Linked DNA regions of Arabidopsis thaliana. The protein of the gene in region 3 purifies or fractionates together with the protein of the main gene of each other region. This does not show direct contact. Each region holds a gene or a part of one and is shown on either strand. Other genes may lie near its edges. The genes, in order: AT3G57940, CHR11, EMB2775 and AT1G10490.

Region 1 (7,919 bases), on a different chromosome or scaffold from region 3:
CTAAAAGTTTTCTGCACACTATCCAAACTTTGTTCTTGGTTTCGTAAATGTAAACTATTATGACCAATTACAAAGTAATGAATAACATGAAGTTACCTCTTTCAAACGAGGGAGAGCTGATTTGATTTCCTTTCCCGCAACTCCATTGAGATATTTGTATAACTCCCTTGCGACCTTCAGGAGAAGAGAATGTATTTGTCCCCTCTCCAACTGCATTTGTCTCTGAAACATTCAAATGTGTTTGCATGTTTATTAAATATGGATTTGTTGAAACATAATGAACCAGCTGGCTGCAATCTTCAAAATTAGAGTAAAACATGTTACCTCGATGCTGGAGAAATCCGTCTCCTGCAACCCCAAGCATAGCAATATAGATGCTTGAACATATGACAGTGATACGGGGAGCTTCTCTTCAAAATACTGATGTGCCAGCGTTTTGCAGATGTCATAAACCTTTCAACGATAAGACAATGAAACAGGTTACAAACTGAAGGAGAACTGAAAGCAGTTTACAACAAAGGCATATGTTTTTACTTCTGCACCATTTCAACGTCCAATTTTGGTTCCAAGAGAATCATTACCAAAAATGTCAATTTAGTTCACAGACATTTTCAAAAGTAAACCATTCTTAAAAGAAAGAAGAAATCTAACCAGATTGAAGTCAGTCAGATTTTCAGTATATGCTCTGAGCCTCTCCATATCATACGGAGATAATATGCCGTTGAGTGTCTTCAAAAATCCACCTGATGAACTCCCTGAAGAATCAACCTCGGCGAAGTTGATCTTGGGGTTTAAGACACTGGACAAAGAATAATATGACACGAATAAATAATTATACGAAATCGATGTTATCAAAAAGTAAAGACAGAAAAATGTTATTGCTTACCTCATTGCAAGTTTATAGTCCATCTTCTTGAATTTGTCACTCAACAGCTTAGAGAACCTTATCTTGAAATCTGAACAAAAATTATGAGATACTTGGAAGATAGTGAAAGTTCAGTTCTTGATCAAGGAATCAACAAACCTTTATAGAAGGGAGTAAAGAATCCCAACTCATCGGACTCGTTGACTTCTAGTTCATCATTCTTTAAGGGTTTTAAAAGCATACATGTGTGCTCACCAGTCACAGCACTCTGATCGAAACACAGATAATAAGTGTTACAAACAACTATTAAAAAAGAAATTTGTATAAGCGAGGATGGAAATATTCTCAACTGGGATTTGGCTAACGTAGAATGGCGCAAAATTGTGTTTTCTCCAAAATCTGAAGAGGTCCAAAGTAAGCCCAAAGGAAACACCAATGTAGTGGAGCTTCTCAGGTCGTCGATCATGGAGTGGAACCAATAGAGGTGGAAGATTTGTACGAGGCTTTACTTGCTCCTCGAGCATGGAGACCTGTCAAAAATGGATTCAGATAAGAATGGAAACAGAGAAATAACTATTATAGTAAACTTAAAAAAGAAGCAGATTCTGCACTAAGTAACAACCAAAGCCCACATAAATAGATATATAGGAAAAACCAGAAACCTTCTCAGCAGCCTCAGTCACTTTAATGGGTGCATGCTCCACATCAACTTTATCTTCAGCTTCTGAGATTGGAGCTATCTGACCCTCAAAATATCTGCAAATATCAATCAGTATTAGTAAGAGAATGACCACACCTAATTAAGAGTACAAAGTCCAAAATTTCAAGAACAACATATAACATTGCTATAGGTAATGCATGAGATAACATCATTACAAACTTGTATGCACATTCCATGAATTTACCTGGTCAAGAGTTCAACTGCAGCAGAACCATATCCCATCTACAAAGAGGGTAATCAGAAGCTTGTTAATCGCACACAGAACCTAACTGGACAATTAAAAATATGAGCAGAACTAAATAAATACCTTCATGGCGTTAGGGTGGACTGCTATGCGAACTATCCGAGCACCAGAGAAACCTGGAAATTCAGTGTCCCGGAATTGTTCACAGAATTTCCATGGAATTTGGTCTCCGTATGGTGAATGGCCATCCCTTAAACTTTGAAGGGCAGAGTTCTCAGATATCTTTCCTTCGAGACAGACCTGAATATAACAGCTACAATGATGCTTAAAATCACACATATAAATAAGGACACAAGCTAGAGAAACTATGATTTTCGACAAAAACTGGAAAAAAGCAGTTATAACAGACTGATAGCTGATACTTTAATCTTTATTAGTCCATTTGATGAAGACTGATGAATCGCTGTTCTAGGTCAATGTGAGCACAGGATAAGCAAAAATATACCTGGATAACACAGAGTATATCAGGAATCTTGTTTTGGGACTCATCAACAGGACCTGCGTTTAAAAGCAGTTAGGAATAGTTCTGAAAATTAAATTAGGTGTGGGAAAAGGACAAGCAGCATACCAAGTAACACAAACAAATGATGAGCAGGAGCATCAGCCAGCAGTTGAAGATCATTAGGAGAATTCTTGTAGTGAGACGAGACACATAGCGCCATCATTCTCTGTAGGATGCACTTATATCAGTCTATTGTCAAAATAATGTACGGATCTCAATCAACTACATTTACCTGTAGAAACAATTCACTATCTTTGTGATAAGAAAAGAGTGTGTCTCGGTTGACATAATAGAGATCACACTGACTTGGCGAAGGATGGCTACACAAAAAGAAGAAAGAAAAGACAAATCAAATAAAAAACATTTCTAGACAATCAGTAACACTAGAAAGGATAGTAGACACTATAAAATTTTAGTTAAAAATTCATACCACGCAGGATTAGGCAGACAAGTAGCAACATCAAGGCAAAGTAGGCCATTAAGCCAGGATTCTATTGGATCTCCAGAACCGTATCTAATAGACTCAGTAAGTTCTATCTTCTTGAAAAGACAACCTGTCCGAAGAAACTTGAGAGAATCAGGGGAATGAATCACATTAACTAGAACTGCCACAAAATGCAGGTCCTGCGAATATAATTAGCGTTGCTACATATGAAGAATTCATCAGACACTAGTAAAGCGGGCTACTTTGCATGGAATTTAGATTAATCTTTGTAAGCCTCTTTAAGGGAAAAAATGAAAACGAAGCTCTAAACAATAAATAGGGGTATCTGAGCGATGATTCTAAGAAAAACGAGTCTATCCTCTGAAGGATGATAGAGCGGTCTCTAAAAAATGTCCCTAATCATTTTCATAGCCAAGAATGAAAGCAAGGTGCAGCAGTTACATACCAGAGCCTTCAAGACCAGTAGCAGGAGCCCGACTTTGCTCATCTAATTGTTGGAGGAGTTTCAGGGACAAAGATCTCCCAGTGCCTTCATAGCTTTAAACATAAAAACAAAAAAATGGGTAACATACAGTAGCATGATTATCCCTGAATTAAAACCAGAACATGCATATGACTTTTTAATAGCATCAGATCCAGTTTCACATACCCACTGACAGTTGAGGATAGGAAAACTAGATAAGGACCAAGCAAAGACTTCACAACTGGTAAAGGAATAGCTGCTGCTTCATCAATAACCAACAGCTCTACTTGTGAAAGCTTCTCATGTTCGTGTGGTTGTATATACTGCATAAAAAATATCAAGAGCATGGAACACGTCGGAAAGGGACTCAAATCACAGCTTGAAGATCATGAATTAATTGAGGGATTAACAAACCTGGATAGTTTGTCTATGCTGCTTGAAGATATTTATCCGTACAACAGCTTTTTTGAAGTCAGGATTTGCACTTTTCACAACATCATAATCAAGGTGCTCCTATAAAAATAATAATGGAACGTAATTTAGAACCATATATGACCACATCGCAAAATGGTTTAATGATTTCTTCTATCCTTGAGATAGTGTAGGTCTATTCAATAATTATCTCAATAACTATGCATATGTCTCTCACCTTGCAGGTTCTTCTCAATGAAATAGAACAAATACAATATAAAAATAATCTGTAGGAAAAGAACTTTGCATTACCTTATATTCAAGTGCATCAAAGCCTTTGCAAACAAACTCAAAGAATGTCTTCAAGTTATCCGGGCTTGGTGCAGTTATGTAAATATTTGAGTACCTAAGAGCAAGTAAATCACACATCAATAATTCTCACAAACATCCAGAAAAATTAATACTGATGAGTAGAAGAACATATAGTAAAATTAATTCAAGAAATCTACCCAGCAGCAACAGCCCCGGCAACAGCTAAACCAAGTGCAGCAGATTTTCCACGTCCTCGACTTGCAATCAAAGCAACTATGCTGCGGAGAGCCTTATCCAAAATTGCATCGAAAAATGTTACTACAGCTTTACCCTACAAAATGAAAACGCAGAATCTCCTACAATTTAATATCAACCATGCAACAAGAAAGAACATTAGCAAGACATAAAATTGATAGCTTTGAACCTGATCCAATGTACAACATTTCTTGATTAACGGACCAACAGGAAAATCATCACTTAGGTCTTCTTTCAAACTCTTCAGATCCCGCTCTGCCTCAGAGAGCCCCTCGGAATCCTTTAGTAGCACATAACATTGTAAAGTTATCAATTCTACCTGGAACTTTGGATAACATTCTCTCAATTTGCTACAAGAATTACCTTTTCTGTTGGAACTTGAGTAATAGATCTGATATGCGAGGAAAGCGGCAAAATATTCAACTCATCATCCATGACAACACATGCTTTGCAAGATGCAAGTGAAAGCAGAAAACGTTCATTGAAACGGCCGGCAGCCTCAGAATGCGATTCAGTTCGGAATCTGTCATGGACATCCTAATAAAAAAAAGTCATGTCACATTACTTAGATAATGCTTTTCTCCCACTTACTCAAAAAATAAGAAATTAAACTGTGGTTCATACCATAACCATAGTGCATAGACTAGTAAGCGATGTAAGTGATCGCAATATCAATACAACCAAACCACCACCTTCCACAGTCTCTATTGTTCTTGCTAGTAGATTTGGAGTTAAAGCTTCAAAATCCTGAATTTATCAAGAAGAAATAGTAACAATTACTCACAAAACGAAACAGGGACATAAGGCAGTCATCCTAAATGAATATAAATAAGAAGAAAAGTACCTGTAAGATGCACATGCCAAAAGTATTTCCAAGAATTCGTTCAGAATCTTTGTACAAGCAATGAGTGACTCTTCCAACATCAAGCAAACGCGAGAAAGCGTCAAGTTTCTCTGGATCTAACTGTCCTCTCTCCCTCAATCTCTTCAGCTGCTTCGAACGCTTTTGCTTATGACTGCAAACAAACGATACAGACTCTCACCATTACTGAAAAAAGCTATCTTCTTTATTCAAAGGACAATCAGAAATTTCACATTCCATTCTACACTTGTGCCCAGCTAAATTCTCAATATATATATCACAAGCATAAAATGAGCTAAAAGAGAATCATCTAAAGCCTTGAGAATTTGGGATTAAGAACAGAACCTGCTAATGTCAAGTTTATCCTTGTAGCACCACAACACACTCGGATTACATTTAATAACTGCCTTTGACAACATATGATGGAGGTTCACTATCTGTTAGAGAAAAAAAAAAGGTTGAAGATTTAGTATCCAACAAAACATTCTCTCAGGGAGATAAGTGTCCAAGTAGAAAACTTTCGAGAACCTGGTCACGAGACTTGTCACCAATGATTACAAACATGGAACGGTGTCTCAATTTGACACCGTTTTCAATCAGAGTCCTGATACGTTCATCAACCTTCTTCCTCATTCTCGCAAAACTAGCTCTTCTTCTTCCTCCTACTTAATCTTCTTAACACAGACAAAAAAAAACCCAAATTCAATAACAAAATATGGGTTCTGCTTTCGAGTGTTGGTAAAAAACGCAACTGACGAAGAAATCAATTTCCGTTTGGAACTGAATTTTAAGAACAACACCAAAATAAAAAAAAATAACAAGGACCACCGGAACAGAACTTAGGGTTTCTAAATTGTTGAGTAGGGTTTAGGACCGAAGAAATTATGATTTTTCTGCTTTGACCTTTTTGTCCTTCTTACTCAATGAATGAATCATTCATAACCGAGTACTAGACCGAAATGGTTTAATGCCACTATTCATATAAAATCGGGTTCAATAAAGTGAACTCTAATGGGCATAAGCATAAAAGGCCCAGTAAAAGAAGAAGCCCGGGAAGAATCATATGTGTCTCTCTCTTTTAGTTTTTTTTGTAGTTGTTAGTGGTGAGTCTGGTGACAAAATCCTTTGTTGAATGTTTTTGAAAACAATTTTGAAGCGATGTAACTTCAATTTATATAGCTGATGAAGCTGAATTACAAAATGTGATGATTTTGACATATAGAATATTATTAGTATATAGATAGAGAGAATAGAGAGATAACAAATAAAGTGAACTCTAATGGGCCAAAGCCCAAACGTTAAAGGAAAAGAAGAAGCCCGTGGAAAGTGTTTTGAAATGTTTGGATGAAACGCGGCTATTAGCTGTCGTCTCTTATCCAACCGAACCCAACGAGTTCGAAAACGAGTAGAATGTGAAAGCACGCGCCAAAAAGGGGGCGCGTGGGTGAAATCCGTATCCATCTTCAACGGGCTTAAGATCCATTTTAGTCAGTCTCAGTGATGGTAGTGAGAAGAAAAAGCGTCATTCTTACGTTTTTCTTTTAAGTTTCACTCAGAGACAGAAGCTAGAACAAAGAAAAGAGAAGCCTTTTGAAAGCAATCAACTTTAATCTTTTTCAACCAACACTAGTACTCTAGCTGTTGCTCTTTCTCTTCGTTTTCTTCCTTCCTTCTTCTCTTAGATCTCTTTCTTTTAACTTGAGTCTTATCCTTTGGATTTTTATTCGATTTGATTCCTCCGTTTGGTTTGGTCAGTTTTCTTTAGACTCTTAGTCTTTCCTCTGATCTGGGTTTTAGCTGTAGAAACTCGTGAGTTAGATCGATTGAGAACCCAACTATAAATTAGTAAAAAGAGAAACCCTTTATAGGTTTTTTGGGGTTTTTGTCTCAGTCTGACCAATGGGTTCACAGGTGAGTCTCTGTCTCTCTGTTTTGAAGAGATTGTAAGGAAACTAGGGCTTGTTTTCTTGTTTAGACTGTTCATGCAATTAGTTTTCGTGGAAGATAATTGATTGAACTTGCTTGTAGCTTAGTTCTTGGTTTCTATTGAGCTCTAAAGGATAGGTTTTTAAGAGATGAAATTGTTTAATGTCTCGTGACTCAAGTGTTGCTTATATATGTTTCCTTTGTTCAGATCTTTTTGGAAAGAATTTGTATTTGGATGTTGTTAAATAACTTGTTCAATGCACTGCTTCTAATGCATGAAAAAAATGGAATCTTGCTTTCGTGTTTATGATTGCGCTTGTGTTGATTCTTCAATGAATAGTTCCTCCTCTATGGAGTGTCTGCCAGTTTGAATGATCCTCTACTTTTGTGCATATCGAAAAAAATGACATTGCTTTTCACACTTTTTAGTCTGCATTCTTCAACAAATTTCTATAGTGTTTGAGTTTAGTTCGCCTTCATTGTGTTGTTGTGAGGTATGAGTTACTACTGGTAATTAAAAAGCAACCTTTTCAACTTGCAGGTTTCTTGTCTAGTTGCTTGAGGTTTTTGGTTTTTGGTTTGAATAGAGTTATGAGAAGAGGTAGAGGAAAAGGCAAGAGGCAGAATGCTACTGCTAGAGAAGATCGAGGGAGCGGCGAGGAAGAAAAGATTCCAGCTTTTAGGAAAAGAGGGAGGCCACAGAAGCCGGTGAAAGATGAAGAAGAAGAAGAAGAAGAGCTAGTGAAGAAGACAGATGAGGAAGAAGACAAGGATGATGATACAAATGGTTCAGTAACAAGTAAAGAAAATGTGACAGAGAATGGGAGGAAGAGGAAGAAACCAGTGGAGTCTAAAGAGAGCAACATAACTGAAGAAGAGAATGGGGTAGGGTCAAAATCAAGCACAGAAGATT
Region 2 (7,578 bases), on a different chromosome or scaffold from region 3:
GATCAAACATGGAGGAATTTAATTAATTAAAGAGACAAACATGAAAGCGGGCGAGTCATTGAACTCGGCGGAGACAGGAGCCGGAGACGAAACTCCAGGGAGCTGAGTCATCTCTGTCTGGTCGCTAGTCACCATTACTATAAGAGCAGTCAGAGTGGCGGAGAAAAGCAGAACTCTTGTTATAATGTCTATTTTACGACAATCTAGGAAACTGGCGGCTGATGAGGGTGGTGGTGTAGCCGACGCGGGAATCGGTTCAGATTTGCCAGTTTCAGGGTCAGGGTTCTCAGTAGACGCCATCAGATGATTCTATAACTCTTTTGTGGATTAGGTTGTGGTTAAGTTTGGACTGTGAGTTATGAAGTTGGCCGCTACATGAGATTATTTGTGAGTATATATATATAGATAGTCCCGGTGATGAGTTGTAGTTATTACCCACACGCCAAGAAACAAATTTATATTTATTTACACTATTCACTAATGTATATATACAGGAACATGAATATCAATTCATTTAATTTCTAGCTTGCATTTTTCATTGTTTAAAATTTCGAAATAGTTTTTGGAAAATTCACTAGATGTTGTAGTTTTATTTCAACGTTAACATATAATGTTTGTTACAACAAATTTTGCATGCATATCTATTTTTGATTAATAGAAAAATTAATATATTTCTATAGGTATAAGTTATGGATAATGTAGATATATACAATGGGAATGTGTTAGGCCAACCCCGGGAAGGTTGGTGAGGAAATTGGGCGACGGTAATCAAAAACAAAATACAAAAAAGGAGAGTAAAGAACAGTAGGAGTGGTTAACCAATCATCTGCATGAAAAAGGTAATTTTATACATGCTCTTAGGTATCACTTTGCTTTCTGCTTGTGGCTGCAAATCATGTAAATGGATATCTTATTTTATGTAAAAACATTAAACTGCAAGAAACAAATGTCCCAGTAGCATGACCACTTCAGCACTTCTCAAACATATTATAATGTTTTAACATGGATAAAGCTATTTCAGATACTAATCCAGTCGAAATAGAGTAGTTTTGTCTTAGCAAAATCACCAAACTTTATCTCTTGATACCAATACAGAGTGACTGCACAAGTCTGAGAACAACACAAAAAAAGTCAGACCTAACAGTAATAATATATATGAACTCATCATGATTTTTATTTCATATCTTAATAATACCTAACTGGTTTTAGTAAATCCAAATATATAAAATTAGAGATAGCTTTAACAAATTGGGGGCGATGATCAATCACAAAGATTAAAAATAGTGTAACTGGAGAATCTTTCTCGAGCAGCTCCAGCATAGTAATAAGTTGGGGAAAATATCGGGCTTGAAAGTGGGTCTTATGGGTCAGTCAGGCCCAACTATGATTAAACAAAGCCCAAATCGCGAATGTTCCAAAACAACTCTCTTGCTCAGGTGGCGGGTAATTAATTACTAATTCCCCGTTCGATGAAGCGACTAGTTACATCGTAGCCATATATTTATTCAGCTTAATCAACGGTTACAAATTACCCTGAAGCTTCGGTCGTTTTGCAATTTGTATCTAAAGTTTCACTTTTTTTTTAAAATCTTTATTTTACTTTCTCACAAGCGAAGCGAACCCTCGATCTCAAGGCGAAAGCAGATTTCGTAGCTTCCATGGCGAGAAATTCGAATTCCGATGAGGCTTTCTCGTCAGAGGAGGAAGAAGAGCGGGTTAAGGATAATGAAGAAGAAGATGAGGAGGAGCTCGAGGCTGTTGCTCGTTCTTCTGGCTCCGACGATGACGAAGTAGCCGCCGCCGACGAATCACCAGTCTCCGACGGAGAGGCTGCTCCCGTAGAAGATGATTACGAGGTAGCTGCAGGCTAATTTCGTTTTGATGGCTGTGATTTTTGAAATCTCAGTGAACTGCATCTTTTTTGTACTTGGAAAGTTGAAATTTCATTTAATGCAATGGATTCGGCGTTCGCGTCTTCCTTCGTTTGTTAGTTTTAGTCGAATTTTTGTTGAGTGAAAGTTCATTGAATGTCTGCGCATGGTGGCTCATTGTGGTATAAGCAGGACGAAGAAGATGAGGAAAAAGCTGAAATCAGCAAACGTGAGAAAGCCAGACTTAAAGAGATGCAGAAGTTGAAGAAGCAGAAGATTCAAGAGATGCTGGAGTCGCAGAATGCTTCCATTGACGCGGATATGGTGCGTTGTTTGAACTATATATTTCAGGTTTTTAGCTACTTTTCGTTCTCGTGCTTTTAAGTTCTGACGATTCTGAATCATTCCATGTGTTTTAGAACAATAAGGGAAAAGGGAGACTGAAGTATCTTCTGCAGCAAACTGAGTTATTTGCCCACTTTGCTAAAAGTGATGGATCTTCTTCTCAGAAGAAGGCAAAAGGAAGGTGTGTTAGATGCAATTTTTTCCTAAAATATCGGTTCATCATTGCTTCTAGCTTCAGAGTAAATATGATGAGCCAGGCCCTGATTTATGTGGTTTTAACTTCTACCTTCAGGGGACGTCATGCTTCCAAAATAACTGAAGAGGAGGAAGACGAAGAGTATCTAAAGGAAGAAGAGGATGGCTTAACTGGATCTGGAAACACACGGTTACTCACACAGCCCTCTTGTAAGTACCTGTATTTTGCTCTTTAGTCTAGGATTACTGTATATTAATCGTCTCTCTAGTCTCGAGCAACAAGTACAATATGATTGACATCTCCGTCCATTTGCGTAACCATACATATTTTTGTGACCTCACAGTTAGTATGTAGTATAGCGTAAATTACTGGGAAAGCTTGAGATTCATCTATTTTTCTTCTCAATCGACAGGTATTCAAGGGAAGATGAGAGATTACCAATTAGCTGGTTTGAACTGGCTCATTCGTCTTTATGAGAATGGCATAAATGGAATTCTTGCTGATGAAATGGTAAATAATTCTCCCCCAACGATCCAAGCAGAATAAGTTCTCTATATTCTGTCATGCTAATCATGAAACTTTTTTTTCCCTGTGGTCTAGGGTCTGGGGAAGACGCTTCAAACGATTTCTTTGTTGGCATATCTTCATGAATACAGGGGAATCAATGGTCCCCATATGGTGGTTGCTCCAAAATCAACACTTGGTAATTGGATGAACGAAATTCGCCGGTTTTGTCCTGTCCTACGTGCTGTGAAGTTCCTTGGTAATCCTGAGGAGAGGGTAAGTCATGAGCTGTCTGCCATTTCAGAATTTCATGTAAACGTTTATCCCAGGATTCTGAAATGTCTGCTAACTGATGCAGAGACATATTCGAGAAGACCTGCTAGTTGCTGGGAAATTTGATATTTGTGTCACAAGCTTTGAGATGGCCATCAAAGAGAAGACAGCACTTCGTCGGTTTAGCTGGCGTTATATTATCATTGATGAAGCGCATCGAATCAAGAACGAGAATTCACTCCTTTCTAAAACCATGAGACTTTTTAGCACCAATTATCGGCTTCTTATCACGGGGACCCCCCTTCAGGTGTTTGCTCTATCTTATTCTTGAATATTTGGACATTGAAGTTTTCTTTGTTAAGTTGCTTCTAATTGAATGTTGAAACAACCTTTCTTGTACGGCTCTGTTTGCACTCTTAACTTTTGCTTTTCCGGGCACTTTTAATATTTACCGTATAATGACTGTGTAGCCTGCTGTACTCATATTGTCCTCATATATGCAGAATAATCTCCATGAACTGTGGGCTCTTCTAAATTTTCTTCTGCCTGAGATTTTTAGTTCAGCAGAGACTTTTGATGAATGGTTTCAAATTTCTGGTGAGAATGACCAGCAAGAAGTTGTGCAACAACTGCACAAGGTATGGATGCACCCATTCCTTGCATTGAGTTTATTCTGTTCTGTGTGAGTCGTAGGTTAATTGCTTTCATGTATCTTTTTAGGTTCTTCGACCATTTCTTCTTCGAAGACTAAAGTCAGATGTTGAGAAAGGTTTGCCACCGAAGAAGGAGACCATACTTAAAGTTGGTATGTCTCAGATGCAAAAGCAATACTACAAGGCTTTACTGCAGAAGGATCTTGAAGCGGTTAATGCTGGTGGAGAACGCAAACGTCTGCTAAACATTGCAATGCAACTGCGTAAATGCTGCAATCACCCCTATCTCTTCCAGGGTGCAGAACCTGGTCCCCCATATACCACAGGAGATCACCTTATAACAAATGCTGGTAAGGCTAGAAATAAACTAGATCCTTCAGATTTCTGTGGAAGTTTTTTATGAAGCATCTCTATATTGTTATTTTAGGTAAGATGGTTCTCTTGGATAAATTGCTTCCTAAGTTGAAAGAACGTGATTCAAGGGTGCTGATATTTTCTCAGGTAAACGCTAATACAGAACAGCTGGATATAATGGTTTCTTACAGTTCATCTTCTCTTTTTCCTTTGTCTATGTAAAGTCTGAGCCTTATTCTTTTCTTTCCACATGTCAGATGACAAGACTTTTGGATATTCTTGAGGACTATTTAATGTATCGTGGTTACTTGTATTGCCGTATTGATGGAAACACTGGTGGTGACGAACGAGATGCCTCCATAGAAGCCTACAACAAGCCAGGAAGTGAGAAATTTGTTTTCTTGTTATCTACTAGAGCTGGAGGGCTTGGTATCAATCTTGCTACTGCAGATGTTGTGATCCTTTACGATAGTGATTGGTAAGTCTCTCATCATTGTCCACTGTAGTTTATGAACTTTCTCTTCACGTTTGACGAGTCTGGCATATTCTGGCAGGAACCCACAAGTCGACTTGCAAGCTCAGGATCGTGCCCATAGGATTGGTCAAAAAAAAGAAGTTCAAGTGTTTCGATTCTGCACTGAGGTTGGTCTCCTCTCCGTGAATTTCAAGTTAAAACAGCCATGAGAGGTTTAAAATTAATTATGTGTTGTTTGTTTACAGTCTGCTATTGAGGAGAAAGTGATTGAAAGAGCTTACAAGAAGTTAGCACTTGATGCTCTGGTTATTCAACAAGGGAGATTGGCAGAACAGAAAAGTAAGTGCGTTATACAGTGATTGCTTTATGCATTGGTTCATCTCTGACAGAATTGGTATTTATCTTAACTATGCAGCTGTCAATAAGGATGAGTTGCTTCAAATGGTAAGATATGGTGCTGAGATGGTGTTCAGTTCTAAAGATAGCACAATCACAGACGAGGATATTGATAGAATCATTGCCAAAGGAGAAGAGGCAACAGCTGAACTTGATGCTAAGATGAAGAAATTCACAGAAGATGCTATACAGTTTAAAATGGATGACAGTAAGGGTGTCACTTACCTACTATTTCCCCTATTAGGTTGTGTGAATATTGTAATGTTTTGATAATCTGTTGTTTTATTTGTTGTAGGTGCTGACTTCTATGATTTTGATGATGACAATAAGGTAACTTGTATATTTCTTTGCATAGTCTTAACTTTCATGTCATATCCCTAGCTTTGCTCTGCATTACTGATGATAAAATTTACTAATATATTTGTAAATTTGTTCATAGGATGAAAACAAGCTCGATTTTAAAAAGATTGTAAGCGACAATTGGAATGATCCCCCCAAGCGGGAGAGAAAGCGCAAGTAATGATTACTTCTGTCTTATACATTGTGCAGTCCTATTTTGCCAGTCTTCATATCTAAAAGAAACATCCCTTTTGTTTTATCTACTGTATCTTCAGCTACTCTGAATCTGAGTACTTTAAGCAAACATTGCGGCAAGGTGCTCCAGCTAAACCTAAAGAGCCTAGAATTCCGCGCATGCCCCAGTTGTGAGTACCTCAACAACCTCCATCTCATTGTTGAATGCCTTTTCCCTGTTTTGATGATTTTCTTACACTAGAAATCTAATTTATTGTCCCTCTTTCAGGCACGATTTCCAGTTCTTTAACATTCAGAGATTGACCGAGTTGTATGAAAAGGAAGTACGTTATCTCATGGTAGGCCTCTCTCAAAACGAAACACTTGATTCCTTTGATGTGCTTAAGAGCGAGTTTTTTTGCCTTATAAAAGCAACTTGCTTCTTTTTGTGCTTTTTGGTTTCAGCAAACACATCAGAAAAATCAGTTGAAAGACACAATTGATGTTGAAGAACCAGAAGGTCAAGCTTGTACCCACTTTGTTAACATGTACCCACTTTGTTAACATGTTTTTCAGCAAACCTATTACTGATTAAGAATTTTTTTGTTAGAAGGTGGGGATCCCTTAACTACTGAAGAAGTAGAAGAAAAGGAGGGATTATTGGAGGAGGCAAGTGAATATGTTTGATGTTAGAGTGGTCTTAGACATTTGATTTGGTAGGCTTTAATTAATTTTTTGTAATTGTCAATCTCCAGGGTTTCTCAACATGGAGCAGAAGAGATTTTAATACTTTCCTCAGGGCTTGTGAGAAGTATGGCCGCAACGACATAAAAAGCATTGCCTCTGAGATGGAAGGGAAAACAGAGGAAGAAGTTGAAAGATATGCCAAAGTATTTAAAGAGCGGTACAAGGAGCTGAACGGTAAGTAACACCTTTCAATGCTAAGTTATGCAGTGTTTTTACATGTTTCTAAGTAATTCCTACCTCCAAAAAGAGCTTATGCTAAGTAAGTTTATCATCTTTCCCTCTAAATATGTAGACTATGATAGAATCATTAAGAACATTGAGAGGGGAGAGGCAAGGATCTCTAGGAAAGACGAAATCATGAAGGCCATAGGGAAGAAACTGGATCGCTACAGAAACCCTTGGCTGGAACTGAAGATTCAATATGGTCAGAACAAAGGCAAGCTGTACAATGAAGAGTGTGACCGTTTCATGGTATGTCTTTTTCTCGTTTCCCTTTTTGCTGTTCTGTCTCATTAATTATATCATGAAGTTTTTGACTGTTGAGGAACTTTGGTGGTGAAAAACAGATCTGCATGATTCACAAACTTGGTTATGGGAATTGGGATGAGCTAAAGGCAGCATTTAGGACATCGTCTGTGTTCAGGTTTGACTGGTTTGTGAAATCCCGCACGAGTCAGGAACTTGCAAGAAGATGCGACACTCTGATTCGACTGATCGAGAAAGAGAACCAGGAGTTTGATGAAAGAGAGAGGCAAGCCCGCAAAGAGAAGAAGCTCGCGAAGGTAAAATAATGCAATATTTTCATGTATAAGGTTGTATTCTTTTGATTTGATTTCTTTAGGTGGTTAATGCTTTTCTGGTTTTTAATCTTTGAAGAGTGCAACACCATCAAAGCGACCTTTAGGAAGACAAGCAAGTGAGAGTCCTTCATCGACGAAGAAGCGGAAGCACCTGTCGATGAGATGAGATTATGTGTTTACGGATCTGTCGAGTCTTTGTTGTTACATATAGTTAAGCTAATGTTAAAAACATAGCAAATGGATTTCATTCTGCTTTCATGAATGTTTGTCCTGGTTTGACTTGGATTTAATGAAATGACTTAATTATAATTTTGTAGACTTCTCTTCCGTAAAGAAACTGAACAAAAGGATTTGAGGCCATTGGATGGCAACTTAGGCTGAAGCTTAAGCAAAAGTTATGAGTTTCTGAGGGATATATGAACAGACGATTTTTTCCACAATTTATTACTTC
Region 3 (5,804 bases):
ATAAAATATAAATAGTTAATAAAATATATATTTTTTTGTATATGATGTAATTCAAATTTTTAAAATCGACATGTATTATTCAATCAATGAAGAAATAATATGTGTACAATGTCCCACATCGCTTAAAAAATTGGACATTAGTTCAAAGTCATACTAAAAAATGACCAAAATGAGTCCAGTTACGAATAAGCAGGAAGCTTGATTTATCAGACGTCCAAAATTAAAATTAAAGTGGTTATCCGGTTTACTCGGATTCTTTATTTTTAAAAATATAAACTTTACAAAGTTTATAGCTTTTTAAATATTATAATTTTACAAACTTTTTATAAAGTTTAGCTTTAAATTTTTAAAAAATATTTATAATTTTAAAACTTATGAAGTTTTGTAAATTATAAATTGAATTTTACAAAAAAAAAAAATATATTATAAATATATACAATATATTAATACTGGACGGTATAAATATATATCACTATAAATTTAATCATTATAATTTGTTAGCTACGGAAGATTTTGCCTATGTTCGGTAGAAGCCTACCGCAAATATCTAATGTTTTTTGTTAAAAAAAAACTAATGTTACTACAACAAAATTTCAGTATCTTCTAGCTCTTAGCCCTCGTCAAACCCATAGAGTTGCAAATTGAATAGCCACTTTTTGGCGTTGTTTCGGCAAGTCTTTTGTTGCAGACTGATAGGCCAAACCGCTTCCATAGTTTATTAAAATTAAGACAGTCAAGTTGAGGGAAACAAATTCAAACATCAAAAGTTAAGACGACCCACTAAACAGAAACCTTAACTTCAGAACCTCGGATCACGCATAAAATAAACAGTACAAGTGCAAGTCTATCTTCTTTTCCTCGATTTGAAGCCTCTCTTCTCTACCCAAACGTTGAAATGAGGAAGTTTTTGTATATGCTCATAAACTTGGCCACAAATGCTGCAGTGTAACACCAACTCAAAGTAAGAAGATGATATTTTTTATGTAGCCTATATCGGCCATATGCAATAACTGAAAGAGTTTATATACCTTCTATGTGAAATATGGCTTTCTGACCTAATCGCATCCGATGTTCCTGTAAGAAGGGCCAAAGACATATCATCAAGCAAGCCACCAAAACAGAAGAATGGTAACTCAGTCTCAAATGAGCACACAGAAGTTGAGATAATGGTGAGGAGAAATCAAATTCGCAATCTAAGACTAAGAGCCGTTTAAAAATACTCTTACATAATATGCAGCCCAGTGGCAGACTTCAAGCTTTAGCTCTGAGTCCAGTTTCTTCAGCAATTCATGAAGGAGTCTCTGGGAAAGCATAAACTATGAGTAAAATGAAAGAGAAAGGGACCCAAATACATAATTATATATAAGTGAATAAGGTTATGTTTAAGACCTTTAGAATGACTTCTGGTGGAATACAATTAACTAGTAATTCGTACACCTTTCCACGCACCTGAAATAACCTGAAGAAGCACACAAGAGATGATAAAGTCAAAGTTATCTTTGAAGTTCTATTTTGTAAAAGTAAATGATTCACTAGAGTCTGACTTTTTAGGGCTTTGTTCTTTCATCATGTCAGTTGCTATTTCAGCAACATACTCTTCCCAATCCATGGGAGATATCACTTGGTTACCTGTGAACGGATAGCTACAAAGAAAAAATGAATATCAAGTTGAAAGTAATGTAAAGTTAAATTTTCTAAACATGAAACAACAAAAGAATCAAACTCATTGATTATCTGCATATATAAAGTTTCTGATCCTTACTTTTGGACACGACAAGTTTCAAGTGACAAAATAGCTCTTCTTAGACTGCGATTTGATTTTTCAGCAATACGAGCAGCAAAACCCTGGGGCAGTTGCAGACTTTCTTTCTTTGCAACGAACTCCAACACTTTCACTATCTGGTACCAGAGAGCTACATTTTAGTTAACAATAATCTTGCATACTGGTTTTCGCAAGAAAGTTTACAAAGGCCAAATGAAGCAAACACTGAATCTTAGGTAATATTTCTGATAGCAACTACAGATTCTTAATAGTATATTTTTAAATCACATGAACAATAGAATAATCACAAGAACGCCGACAGTCATGAAAAATTTCTCAGTAAGGATAAAAGCAGATATATAAAGACAATTTAACTTGTTTTTTCTTGCCAAACTAGTGAAATGTACACAAGAATACGTACAAATCGATTTCTACATCGAGTTGATTTAAAGGAAAAATACGAAATGCAATTTCGAGATCTCATCTCCCATAGGATGCGCATTTTTAAGACAGGATTTGATATGAGTTTGCTCTAAGATAGCCACTAAAAGCCACAAAACAAGATGTGGTTTCTCAACACCGAACTAAACACAAAGCCTCCTTTATTGTATAAACAATATTTTACAAAAACATAGGGTGATTTTATGTACCTCTTCCTGCGAAGGTGCATTTATGCGCACATTGAGACAACGAGACTTAATGGCTTCGGTAACCTTCGAAGAGCTGTTGCAGCATAAGATGAGACGGCAAGATGAGCTGTATTTCTCCATTGTTCTCCGCAGAGAATGTTGAGCTTCTCGTGAGAGCTTGTCAACCTCATTTAATACCAACACTGCCGAAACAAAAAAAAAAAATCTGCATGTATCAGACATCTTCCAACATCCATATGTGAAAAGAAGTTGAACTACTTTGGCAGGTCATAAAGGGATGTTAGAGACCAGTGATAAGTTGATAATCAAAAACAGAGAACCATCTAAATGTATAAAGAAGCACTCAGCTGAACAAGAACTCTTAAAACTAGATATACGAGGCAACCATCTAATTGAACATGAAAAAGTAAACGAAAACTATATTACGAACCATAAAATGTAGACCCAGTCTACCACAGCAGTATACGGATTGAAGATGGCATCAAATGCCCTTATAAAAGCCTCACTCTTCATAGATGCTTCAAATAACTACTATAAGCCATTGTAATCCAAATTGTCTACACTAATGATACTATTATATAGAACAAGGGGAACAGTAATTCTTACCCTTATATCCCTTCTTTCCTTTCGTGTCAATTGGTCTGTTCTTGGCCATTTCTTTAATTATCTCCTGAACAATATATCTGTCCTGAAAGCCTGCATCACTTGGAGTAAGTTCCACATGATTGGTGCTTGATAATGTAGTGAGCTCCAGATCAATAGTTCTACTCCCAGCCTGCGTAATGTATCACAATGTTGTCATGTATAAAAGAAGAATCCGCCTAGGAGGACCACCCACTAAAGAAATTGACAGCAAACACAATTCACATCTCTGTGTTTCACAAGTAGGATGATACAATCTTAACCACATTTACTGATCCAACAAGGACACAAGACGACTATGGATATCAAGCAGCGAGAACTTCAAAATTAAAGCAATGCAACTCACATCAACTTTCCATGCCCTGTTCTCCACTTTCACCTGAAGTCAAGTAAATCAAGCAGTTTCTCAGTTGCCACATACAAAAGAAAGTAGCAATAAGAAGATAAACATCAATCTAAGAGAAAATAAAGAGTATGTGCTAGTGAGAATAACTTCCTAATGTTGCTTTGCTAAAGAACATTAGGGTTCAAAGTCTTCATCTTTTAGTAATCAGAACGATATTAGGGTATAAGAAAGAAGGATTACCTTCTCTGCACTGGCCCCATATATCTGCTTGAGAAGAGCCATAATTAGGGTTTTCTTACCAGAACCTGACGGCCCATAAAAGAGCAAATGTGGACAATCTTGCTCGGAAACCTAAGAGGAGAATCGAAAATTAGCTTCCAATTCATCGAAAACCCCTCCAAAAAATTACCTAGGGTTTGAACAAAAAGGCGTACCAATTTCTTGAGTTTTTGGGCGATATCTTCATGAACTATGACCTTGTCGAGTGATTTCGGCCTGTACTTGTCGACCCACAACATCTTTGCTCACCACCGGAGAAGATAGTGAAAGTGGCGGGAAAGAAGTGAATCGTCTTCTTCCTCTAGCAGCTTTTTTGTGTGAGACGTCTTTAGCTATTTTTCTTTCGCTTACACATTCCCACGTCAGGTCATAGGACCAAACCCTCTCTTTTGCTTAGAGTCAACATACCGGTTCGTCGGATGATACCAATTGCGGATCGGATAATGGTATTTAGGATATCGAAATATACTATCCGAAGTGTGCGCAAAAAAGTGTGGGAAAAAGCATTCTACGGATCATTCAGATATTTAAGTTCCAGTAGGGGTAGATCGGTGGTAGCATACCCGTTCGTGGATAATAGCAATCGCAGATCCGATAAGGGTATTTACGAAATTGTAAATTAGCAATTGCAGATCGAATGGAGACATGCGAATAAAGTGCGGTACGGTTTCATCTCCATTCTAAGGATATCAAATATTACTATCGGAAGAATACATTAAAAATGTGGGAAACAGTAGGATACAGATCATTCGGATATTAGCAATTACTATCGGTGGTAGCATACCGGTTCGTGGATAATAGCAATTGCAGATCGGGTAAGGGTATTTAGGAGATTGTAAATTAGCAATTGCGGATCGAATGGAGACATGCGGTTCACCTGCGGATAAAGTGCGGTGCGGTTCCGTCTCCATTCTGAGGATATCGAATATTACTATCGGAAGAATACGTAAAAAAATGTGGGAAACAGTAGGATACAGATCATTCGGATATTTAAGTTCCAATACGGTAGATCGGTGAAATTGGCCTGAAATGCATATACAGGCCTATATCATCAACATCAACAAAGGATATTCTGACCAAGGTTTACGAAAAATATACATAACTTATCATGAATTTGACTACATTACTTACCATGAATTTGATTTTATATATCCTAAACTATAACAACTTCAACATAGAGTTAGGTATTTTCACGGTCTACTTAGAGTTTCCAATAGATCTTGAATCTGTGAAACACACCAGTGACCAAACCCCAGAAGAGAATCTCCGCGAAAATGACATACATTAGCACACCAACTCTTCTTGAATGCCAAACTCGGATAAAAACATGCTCCCGAATCCAATTTATCTAAAGCAGGTATCATGATACTGTCAGTATGATAAGCCATTCAGGCCTATTTAAGATTTCAGAGTAAGTAACTGATTTTTTACCAGTGTATTGTGCGGGTGGCGATAGTACCAACCATTGAAGAAAGCAGCCAAAATGCCTTCAGCTCCCATCACGTACACCAACATTGCGTTCATGCCTATCCATTTTAGAGGCAGAAACATGTGTTTCCACTCCAATATATCGACCTGCAAACACTCGAAATAATAAACAACAAATTTGTCCAAAGTTTGTCATACGTCTTGGTTGTTGTCAATGTCAATGTGGTGGCTTAAGAATCACCAGAGAATACAACGAAGAGAAGACGAGCGCTGCTGCACCGGAGGTCACGCATATGTAGCTGAAACTGTAGAGTTGTTTGTTCAGAGGCATCACTGCAAAACATTTTTGAGTTTGTAATATATGGTAAGAGAAGAGAGACTATTTTGAGTTGGACCAAAAAGCAAGGTGTTTCTCACAGTGGGTGAAATGCAGAGTAAGTCCGAGAGCGAGGAGAACAAGACCGGTGGAGATCCAATGTTTTAGCCGCGCTGAATGTCCCTGCAAAAATATGGTAATGATGAGATTGAAAGGACAAAACGGTGATAGTTTGTAGGAGCTTGAAGCTTATGTTTTATTCAGTTTGTTGACCTTCAAGTGTAAAATAATATGTCCAAAATGGACTCCGATGATTGTAGAAAGAATAGCAGATATGGAGCTGCATAACACAAGTTTCTGAGTGTTATAAACTTGAAGATA
Region 4 (7,846 bases), on a different chromosome or scaffold from region 3:
CAAGAAATTTATCTCCACATGTGTGGTGAAACATAATTCAGCTGGTCCAGATCATCGATTTATTTTAAAGAGTAGATATGTTATACCTCGATGCTCGAGAAATCTGACTCCTGCAAGCCCAAACACAGGAGTACAGAAGCTTGAACATACGACAGCGAGACTGGGAGCTTCTCTTGAAAATAATGATGAGCTAGAGTTTTGCAGATGTCATAAACCTTTGAAAAGATAACAAAGTAAAAATAGTTACCAAACCAAACGAAAAGACAGAGTATCAAGCTTGAACATGCGGTTAGTATTATTTGTCTGAGTCTGTACCAGAATCTTATGATTGTGTAGTTATTTAAGCAGATTACATATCTGACTATAGTACATATTTCCCTAAAATAAGTGACTCTCAGAGAGTGAATCTAACCAGATTGAAGTCAACGAGATTGGCAGTGTATGCTCTGAATCTCTCCATATCATAAGGTGAAAGAACTCCGTCGAGTTTCTTCAAAAATCCATCTGGTGAATTTCCAGTCAAATCAACCTCTGGGAAGTTGATCTTAGGGTTCAAAACACTAACAAAATTGTGAAACGAGTATATTATCAACACAATAATACCGCACCAAGAAAAGTCTAATCATCTTAAAATAGTATTGCAGAAAAAGTCTAAATTTGCATGGGGAGAGAATATGATTAGTGCTAACCTCATTGCAAGTTTATAATCCATCTTCTTGAATTTATCACTCAACAGTTTAGAGAACCTTATCCTGAAATCTGAACAGAGTAGAAGAATTTGCCAAAACATTAAAACAAAACCTGTCATCCTTAAAAGCTACAGAAACATTTGATTCCTGTTAAGAATTTACAAACCTTTATAGAAGGGAGCAAAGAAGCCCAGTTCATCCGACTCATCAACTTCGAATTCATCGTTGCTTAAGGTTAATGGTTTCAGAAGCATACATGTGTGCTCACCAGTCACAGCACTCTGATCCAACCATATTTTAGAAATTGTGTTATGAACTGCTAGACAACACTAGAATTAGTAATTCAGGAGAAGAGGGAAAGAGGGATTCTCAACTGGTATTTGACTGATGTAGAATGGAGCAAATTTATGTTTTCTCCAGAAACGGAAGAGGTCCAAAGTAAGCCCAAAAGAGACACCGATGTAGTGGAGTCTCTCAGGTCGTCGATCACGAAGAGGAACCAGCAAAGGTGGAAGATTGGCACGAGGCTTTATCTGTTCCTCAAGCAAAGAAACCTAAGGGAAAAAATTCAAGTAAGAACTAGAATGCATGATGCAAAACCCTACAAGGGTAGATTAAAATAATCAAGAACCTTTGCAGCAGCCTCGGTAACTCTGACTGGTGAAGGCTCCACTTCCAGTTCATCATCACCTTCTGATATTGAAGCTAGCTGACCCTCAAAGTATCTGCACGTATCAATCAATTAAAATATTTGCATGTATTAATCATCTAAGTCGTAATCATTGCATTTACCTGGTCAAGAGTTCAACCGCAGCAGACCCATATCCCATCTACATAGAATGTAATCAAGAATTTGTTAAATCTCACAAGAAACCTACAAGACTAAAAAAATGAGGCGACTAAGAAACTTTACCTTCATAGCGTTGGGGTGGACTGCTATGCGTACTATACGAGCACCAGAAAGCTTTGGAAAGACCACGTCCCGGAACTGTTCACAGAACTTCCATGGTATTTGATCTCCATGTGGTGAATGACCTTCTCTTAAACTTTTTTCAGCTGATTTCCGAGATATCTGTCCTTCGAGACAGACCTGCATAAATATCAATTTCAAGGATACTTAAGACCAGTTACATCCAGAATCAATCACATACGAACGACAAGATATGAGATTCATGATTTTACAAAACAAAATTGCTGCAAACAAACAATTCAAGCAGACTGATAGCTGCTTTTATTCTTTGTTTAGTCCAACTAACTGTTTTTCTCCAAACAAACAATTTCAAAGAGCAGAGCAGAAAGTAAGAAATCGATACCTGAATAACACACAGTATGTCAGGAAGCTGGTTTTTGGACTCATCAACAGGACCTGTGCCAAAAAGAAAATAAGGCAATACTCTAAATCTGATGATTATCTCTAGCTATGAAAAGGAGGAACAATTGCATACCGAGCAACACAAACAAATGATGAGCAGGAGCATCCGACAAAAGTTGAAGATCATTAGGAGAATTCTTGTAGTGAGAAGAGACACAAAGTGCCATCATTCGCTGTAGAATACCACTTAATGCCTTATTAACAAAATATAGGTAGCAAAAAGTACGTAGGTTGTAAAATCAACTATTATTACCTGTAAAAACAACTCACTGTCCTTGTGATAAGAAAATAAGGTGTCTCGGTTGACATAATAAAGATCACACTGACTTGGCAGAGGATGGCTACAAATGCAAGAAAAATAGAAATCATTTTCTAGATCACTAGTTGGCAAGAAAGGATGGCAACATTCTATTTATATGAAGTGAAATACCATACCAAGCAGGATTTGGAAGACAATTAGCAACATCAAGGCATAGTAATCCATTAAGCCAGGATTCAATTGGATCTCCAGAAGCGTATCTTATAGACTCACTAAGTTCTATTTTCTTGAAAAGGCAACCTGAATCCAAAGAAAATTCAGACAGTCACGGAGTTCCCCAAGATAACGAATCACATCAACTAGATAGTGTAGGAAAAAGAGGATATCTAATACTACATACTAAGATATGAAAGTAGTAGGCCCTGCGTGAGAGAACATTAGTTCTAATGAATATGAACACCCATCAGACAGAGGACTACTCTGCATGAAGTTTCAATCAACCTTCGGAGGCCCTTAAGGCCAAACTTAACAACAAAACCTACGTTCTTGGAAAAAATCATTCACATATATTCCTCAAACTTAGGAATTGGAGCAATGGTTTACTTCAAAAACATAAATTTCTTTCTTATGAAAATGCTAGCTGATAAGCCCCGACGCAAAGGCATTGGAGCGATATTTTAAAAAAGATGAACTTCTATATTCTTAATAATAATATTGGGATCTCTACAAAAAAAAAATATCCAGGTTGCCACATGCCAAAAGTGAAAGCAAGATGTAGTAGTAAATACCAGAAAGAGAGCCTTCAACACCAGTGACAGGGGCTCGGCTTTGCTCTTCTAACTGTTGGAGGAGTTTCAGGGACAAAGATCTACCAGTACCTTCATAGCTTTGGCAAAGAAGGTAAAACAAACAAAAATCAGCAGCCTGACTGACCCTATATATAATCAAGCCATGCATATATCTTTCAATATCATGGGAATATAAGCATTTTACTCCTGTTTCACATACCCACTGACAGTAGATGATAAGAAAACTAGGTAAGGGCCAAGTAGAGACTTCACAACTGGCAAAGGAATAGCTGCCGCTTCATCAATAACCAACAGCTCCACTTGTGAGAGCTTTTCATGTTCATGCGGTTGTATATACTGCATGAAAAAAGAAGAAGAATAAAGCAATTTATCGATCGACACAAACTACGGCTTCTTACAAAAATTCAGGGTTGGACAGACCTGGATAGTTTGCCTGTGCTGCTTGAAGATATTGATCCGTACGATGGCTTTATTAAATTCAGGATTCACACTTCTCACGACATCATATTCAAGATGTTCCTTCAAATATATAGTTGAAGATAGAGTTCAGAAAATTATATGGTAATCCTGAATTAACATGCAAAACAAAGTAACATTTTTCTTCTTCCAGGAGATAGTGCAGATTTCAAATCTATGACAACCCCAACAAAATGGAAGAAGTCCAGCAGTTTCTAGAAAATTGCTTCATATGTGTGATGCAGAAGAAGCTCATATTACCTTATATTCAAGTGCATCGAAACCTTTGCAAACAAACTCGAAGACTGTTTTCAAGTTATCTGGGCTCGGTGCTGTTACGTAAATATTAGAGTACCTAACAGAAAATACGATATAGAATTAATAAGACAATAAATACTATTAACAAACATGAATAAAAGCTCAAAATAACTCAAGCCTACCCAGCAGCAACAGCCCCAGCAACAGCTAGACCAAGTGCAGCAGATTTTCCACGCCCACGACTAGCAATCAGAGCAACTATGCTACGGAGGGTCTTATCCAATATTGCATCGAAAAATGTGACAACAGCTTTACCCTACAAAAGAGAAAATTCAATACTGATCCAATGTGCAACACTTCTTAATCCAATGTGCACAGCTGACTAAACCACATACCTGATCCAATGTACAACACTTATTAATTAAAGGACCAACAGGAAAATCATCGTTTAGTGCATCTTTCAAACTCTTCAGGTCTCGTTCTGCCTCAGAAAGCGCTTCCGAATCCTTTTATTACAAACACATAAAATTGAAAAGTTAAAGATGCTAACTGGTATGATGGAAGACAATCTCTCTAAACAACCCATGAAAAGAAGTGTGAATTTGCTATAGAAATTACCTCCTTTGTTGGAACTTTTGTGATAGATTTGATATGAGATGAAAGTGGCAATAAATTCAACTCATCATCCATGACAACGCATGCTTTGCAAGATGCTAGTGACAACAGAAATCGTTCATTGAAACGTCCGGAAGCTTCAGAGTGTGACTCGGTTCGAAATCTATCATGCACATCCTGATATGAACAGAACCAATCATGTAACTCCAAATAAGTAGTTAGCAAACAACATAACTAGCAAAATCAGTCTTCATACCATAACCATGGTGCAGAGACTAGTAAGTGAAGCAAGCGATTGTAATAATAATACAACTAGCCCACCCCCTTCGACTGTCTCTATTGTTCTTGCTAGTAGATTTGGAGTTAGAGCTTCAAAATCCTGAACATAGTAAGAATAGGATGCAAATATGAGTAAGCTGCAGCAAAAGTAAATGTTTCTTCAGCCATTAATCAAGAGTACCTGTAAGATGCAGATGCCAAAAGTATTCCCAAGAATTCTTTCAGAATCTTTGTACAAGCAATGAGTAACATCCACCACATCAAGAAAAAGAGAGAAAGCGTCGAGTTTTTCAGGATCTAATTGTCCTCTCTCCTTCATCTTCTTCAACTGCTTAGCACGTTTTTTATTGTGACTGCACACAAAACCAATTACACCCACTCTTTTTCAGGACCAAGTTATCAACAAATAGAACTCCACAAATATGCGTAACATAGCTCACAAAACCAGGTTCCATCATTCTCTTGGCATGGAAAATTCAAAAGAAACTCACACCTAATTATTAACTAGGCTTCAATTAAGTTTTTAATAACAAAATTTCAACGCTTCAACTTTTGCAAATATCTAATATTTGAATCGGTTGATAAATCAAACCTGCTAATGTCGAGTCTATTCTTGTAGCACCATAGCACACTTGGGTTAGACTTGACCACCGATTTTGACAAAATGTGATGAAGATTAACTATCTGTTACATAACAGAATCAGAAAAGTATTAGACTTGAAATCCGAGGAAAATGCAAAGTAGAAATTATCTATAACAAGAAGAATTTTACCTGGTCACGAGCCTTATCACCAATAATGACAAACATGGAACGGTGTCTAAGTTTAACACCGTTTTCAATCAGAGTCCTTATACGTTCGTCTACCTTCTTCCTCATTCTCACACCAGTTATTGGTTTTGCCTAACCTTAATTAAGCCGAAATCAAAAATTCAATCAAACACAGGTTTTAGCTTAATGTAGAGTAAAAAGGCAGGAACTTGTTTGAAAATATCTAATGGAACATCTCAATTCGAATAAAGTTTCAAGCTTTATAGGGTAACCAATGAAGCAAAAGTCTCAAAGTTGAGAATAAACGGAGAAAAATCAAGCAAAAGAAACACAAAACCGGCTTCGATTCCTGTACTTACTCGCACTGATTACAATTCCTAACTGTAAAATTAATTCTTTCGTCGGAAGTAATGTTTGTGACAGAGAACGAACCTGAGGATGGTGAGTGAAGCGAGAAGAGAGGTAAAAGAAGCAGCTTGATGTGTGTGTGTGTGTACCAAAGCAGAGAAGCGCGCCCTAAGTCAACCATCGGTCAAAACCTTAAAACCCTAAAATTCAATAACCGACCGGTTTGTTTCTTCTTCACATTTCCCGGTTTGTAGGTATAAGACGGGTTTCTTCTCCATTAATTTTTAGCGGTTACATAAAACCGAATTGAAAAGCAAAGAAAAACTCAATAACAAGATCAACGGTGAATGATATTAAACAACAACAAGAAAACAAGATCAACGGTGAAATATGTTTCATATCCTAAAACGTCATAAGTTACTGGAAGTGATAAAAGAATGGGTTCCTGCACACGACGTGAATCGAATATTTACTATTGTGCAAATAATGATGCACGCAAATAGCCAACTATGCATTAAATTAAGAAAAACGAAGATTTTTACTTGTCTCTTAGTACACGTTTTATAATCACAGTTTCTGGAAGAAGGGTCTCTGATCGGTGTTCTACCAAATTAATTGTCTAGATCAACTGATTCATTTAAAATCAATTTAAATTTCAAAAACTTACATCTAACGCCAATGTTTTAATTATTAGATCAAGAATCATTCAAACTATTAAAGTAACCGATAATCCTTGTCCTTTTTTTTTACGTAGAACATGTTATTGTCATTTTATAAGATACTAATATAACTTAGTCTTTACCTGATATAATAATGTATGTATTGCGTTATGTATAGTTTTATTGACGGTCAAATATAACGTTTCACAATGACCAATCAATAGTTTTTGATAAATAAACTTGCTTTTAAGAAAGCAATAATGTCAATAATAAAAGTTATAATGGAGGCATATATATGATATTTACTAAATTATAATCCATAATTGAAAGAAGAATGGGTGGTACAGATGGCGAAGTCTTGTTCAACAAATGCTTTAATCAATTTAGATCAACAAGCTAACCTTACCTGGCTTGGATCTATCTTTGTCTCCCACAACATTATATAACATTATCTCTTCTTTAAACAAAAATAAATCATTTCAAAACTGATAATTAGTGGTTTATTGTTTTAAGTAGTAAGCAGTCTATCCTCCATTATGATTACATTTCACATGCCATGATAAAATGTTGCATGCATGTATGATAATAACTAAACACATTTAGGTGGCCACTTAGATTTATTTTATTTTTAGTTAGGGAAAATTATCGGTTTTCGAAGCCATATTGACAAGTGTTAAATATGGCATACTAGAACACAATGCGTGACAGAGTCCTCCATTCTGTGATTATAGCCTTCACTTCTTCCGTCAAAAACCTAGAATTTTCAGAATAGTAAAGGAAAAAAGAGATATGTAGGTTGATTTCATATTTTTATATGTCGTAAATGTACAAATTTATCTGTCATTACGTAAATTCCAACTCGGTCATACGCTCGTGTATGATTTACTCATACGTAATGCAAGGAACGATGTTTCAAACTTAACAAAAACATATTTACCAAAATTAGGAAACATACGAATTGGACAATAAAGGAATAATACCTTTTAAAAACATTTTTTTTTTTAATTAAATGGGATAAGCATCCAATACACACATAAGCAAATGGAGTTCCGTTGGTGTCGGAAGTGACATGTGTAGACAAAAATTAAAGGGACCTCCAACACTGGATGATGGATCTTAAGCTTATCATTCCAATCACGCAAATTAATTTAATATACAAACCTGCCGACTCCATTTATTATATGTATTTTTAAAGCTGTACAGTTACGAATTGATGCACATATTTGTTTGGAGATTTAATGGGAAATGTCGAATCAATCTTACACCAAATCTATTTGAAAGAATAAGATCTAAAGTCAAGCTAGTTATATCCACCACTAAATTCACTTATTCT

What was found.
Region 1: the proteins of EMB2775 (region 3) and AT3G57940 fractionate together in Arabidopsis thaliana (co-fractionation; one large-scale study listed by BioGRID). This does not show direct contact.
Region 2: the proteins of EMB2775 (region 3) and CHR11 fractionate together in Arabidopsis thaliana (co-fractionation; one large-scale study listed by BioGRID). This does not show direct contact.
Region 4: the proteins of EMB2775 (region 3) and AT1G10490 fractionate together in Arabidopsis thaliana (co-fractionation; one large-scale study listed by BioGRID). This does not show direct contact.

Annotation. Positions count from the first base shown.
Region 1 is NC_003074.8:21,447,354-21,455,272, reverse strand, and holds the start of AT3G57940 (GNAT acetyltransferase (DUF699)), read right to left. Parts: upstream 6,020-7,919; 5' UTR 5,714-6,019; coding exon 5,609-5,713; intron 5,518-5,608; coding exon 5,426-5,517; intron 5,235-5,425; coding exon 5,063-5,234; intron 4,966-5,062; coding exon 4,843-4,965; intron 4,756-4,842; coding exon 4,582-4,755; intron 4,499-4,581; coding exon 4,388-4,498; intron 4,295-4,387; coding exon 4,161-4,294; intron 4,058-4,160; coding exon 3,964-4,057; intron 3,754-3,963; coding exon 3,655-3,753; intron 3,564-3,654; coding exon 3,427-3,563; intron 3,315-3,426; coding exon 3,223-3,314; intron 2,887-3,222; coding exon 2,763-2,886; intron 2,653-2,762; coding exon 2,565-2,652; intron 2,499-2,564; coding exon 2,399-2,498; intron 2,329-2,398; coding exon 2,276-2,328; intron 2,071-2,275; coding exon 1,894-2,070; intron 1,809-1,893; coding exon 1,771-1,808; intron 1,622-1,770; coding exon 1,528-1,621; intron 1,396-1,527; coding exon 1,216-1,395; intron 1,134-1,215; and 10 more. Other genes in the region: AT3G57930 (rho GTPase-activating gacO-like protein), read left to right, coding at 7,598-7,919. UniProt on the Arabidopsis thaliana protein: RNA cytidine acetyltransferase with specificity toward both 18S rRNA and tRNAs. Catalyzes the formation of N(4)-acetylcytidine (ac4C) in 18S rRNA. Required for early nucleolar cleavages of precursor rRNA at sites A0, A1 and A2 during 18S rRNA synthesis.
Region 2 is NC_003074.8:1,939,408-1,946,985, forward strand, and holds CHR11 (chromatin-remodeling protein 11), read left to right. Parts: upstream 1-1,565; 5' UTR 1,566-1,658; coding exon 1,659-1,856; intron 1,857-2,063; coding exon 2,064-2,195; intron 2,196-2,290; coding exon 2,291-2,397; intron 2,398-2,508; coding exon 2,509-2,621; intron 2,622-2,824; coding exon 2,825-2,922; intron 2,923-3,012; coding exon 3,013-3,192; intron 3,193-3,274; coding exon 3,275-3,496; intron 3,497-3,692; coding exon 3,693-3,827; intron 3,828-3,909; coding exon 3,910-4,192; intron 4,193-4,269; coding exon 4,270-4,343; intron 4,344-4,453; coding exon 4,454-4,674; intron 4,675-4,750; coding exon 4,751-4,838; intron 4,839-4,916; coding exon 4,917-5,010; intron 5,011-5,086; coding exon 5,087-5,281; intron 5,282-5,362; coding exon 5,363-5,397; intron 5,398-5,506; coding exon 5,507-5,583; intron 5,584-5,681; coding exon 5,682-5,771; intron 5,772-5,869; coding exon 5,870-5,939; intron 5,940-6,045; coding exon 6,046-6,100; intron 6,101-6,190; and 12 more. Other genes in the region: AT3G06390 (Uncharacterized protein family (UPF0497)), read right to left, coding at 41-300. UniProt on the Arabidopsis thaliana protein: Possesses intrinsic ATP-dependent nucleosome-remodeling activity. Constitutes the catalytic subunit of several complexes capable of forming ordered nucleosome arrays on chromatin. Involved in the formation of nucleosome distribution patterns.
Region 3 is NC_003076.8:9,821,945-9,827,748, reverse strand, and holds EMB2775 (ATPase family associated with various cellular activities (AAA)), read right to left. Parts: upstream 4,237-5,804; 5' UTR 3,919-4,236; coding exon 3,835-3,918; intron 3,752-3,834; coding exon 3,641-3,751; intron 3,434-3,640; coding exon 3,401-3,433; intron 3,188-3,400; coding exon 3,019-3,187; intron 2,595-3,018; coding exon 2,413-2,594; intron 1,900-2,412; coding exon 1,763-1,899; intron 1,644-1,762; coding exon 1,545-1,643; intron 1,460-1,544; coding exon 1,390-1,459; intron 1,302-1,389; coding exon 1,227-1,301; intron 1,075-1,226; coding exon 1,029-1,074; intron 939-1,028; coding exon 880-938; 3' UTR 506-879; downstream 1-505. Other genes in the region: AT5G27730 (heparan-alpha-glucosaminide N-acetyltransferase-like protein (DUF1624)), read right to left, coding at 4,881-5,027, 5,111-5,254, 5,349-5,440, 5,525-5,606, 5,697-5,763. UniProt on the Arabidopsis thaliana protein: May be involved in DNA replication and thus regulate cell proliferation.
Region 4 is NC_003070.9:3,451,357-3,459,202, reverse strand, and holds the start of AT1G10490 (GNAT acetyltransferase (DUF699)), read right to left. Parts: upstream 6,013-7,846; 5' UTR 5,939-6,012; intron 5,644-5,938; 5' UTR 5,615-5,643; coding exon 5,510-5,614; intron 5,422-5,509; coding exon 5,330-5,421; intron 5,091-5,329; coding exon 4,919-5,090; intron 4,838-4,918; coding exon 4,715-4,837; intron 4,636-4,714; coding exon 4,462-4,635; intron 4,350-4,461; coding exon 4,239-4,349; intron 4,160-4,238; coding exon 4,026-4,159; intron 3,941-4,025; coding exon 3,847-3,940; intron 3,649-3,846; coding exon 3,550-3,648; intron 3,466-3,549; coding exon 3,329-3,465; intron 3,207-3,328; coding exon 3,109-3,206; intron 2,621-3,108; coding exon 2,497-2,620; intron 2,403-2,496; coding exon 2,315-2,402; intron 2,235-2,314; coding exon 2,135-2,234; intron 2,056-2,134; coding exon 2,003-2,055; intron 1,780-2,002; coding exon 1,603-1,779; intron 1,520-1,602; coding exon 1,482-1,519; intron 1,415-1,481; coding exon 1,321-1,414; intron 1,244-1,320; and 10 more. UniProt on the Arabidopsis thaliana protein: RNA cytidine acetyltransferase with specificity toward both 18S rRNA and tRNAs. Catalyzes the formation of N(4)-acetylcytidine (ac4C) in 18S rRNA. Required for early nucleolar cleavages of precursor rRNA at sites A0, A1 and A2 during 18S rRNA synthesis.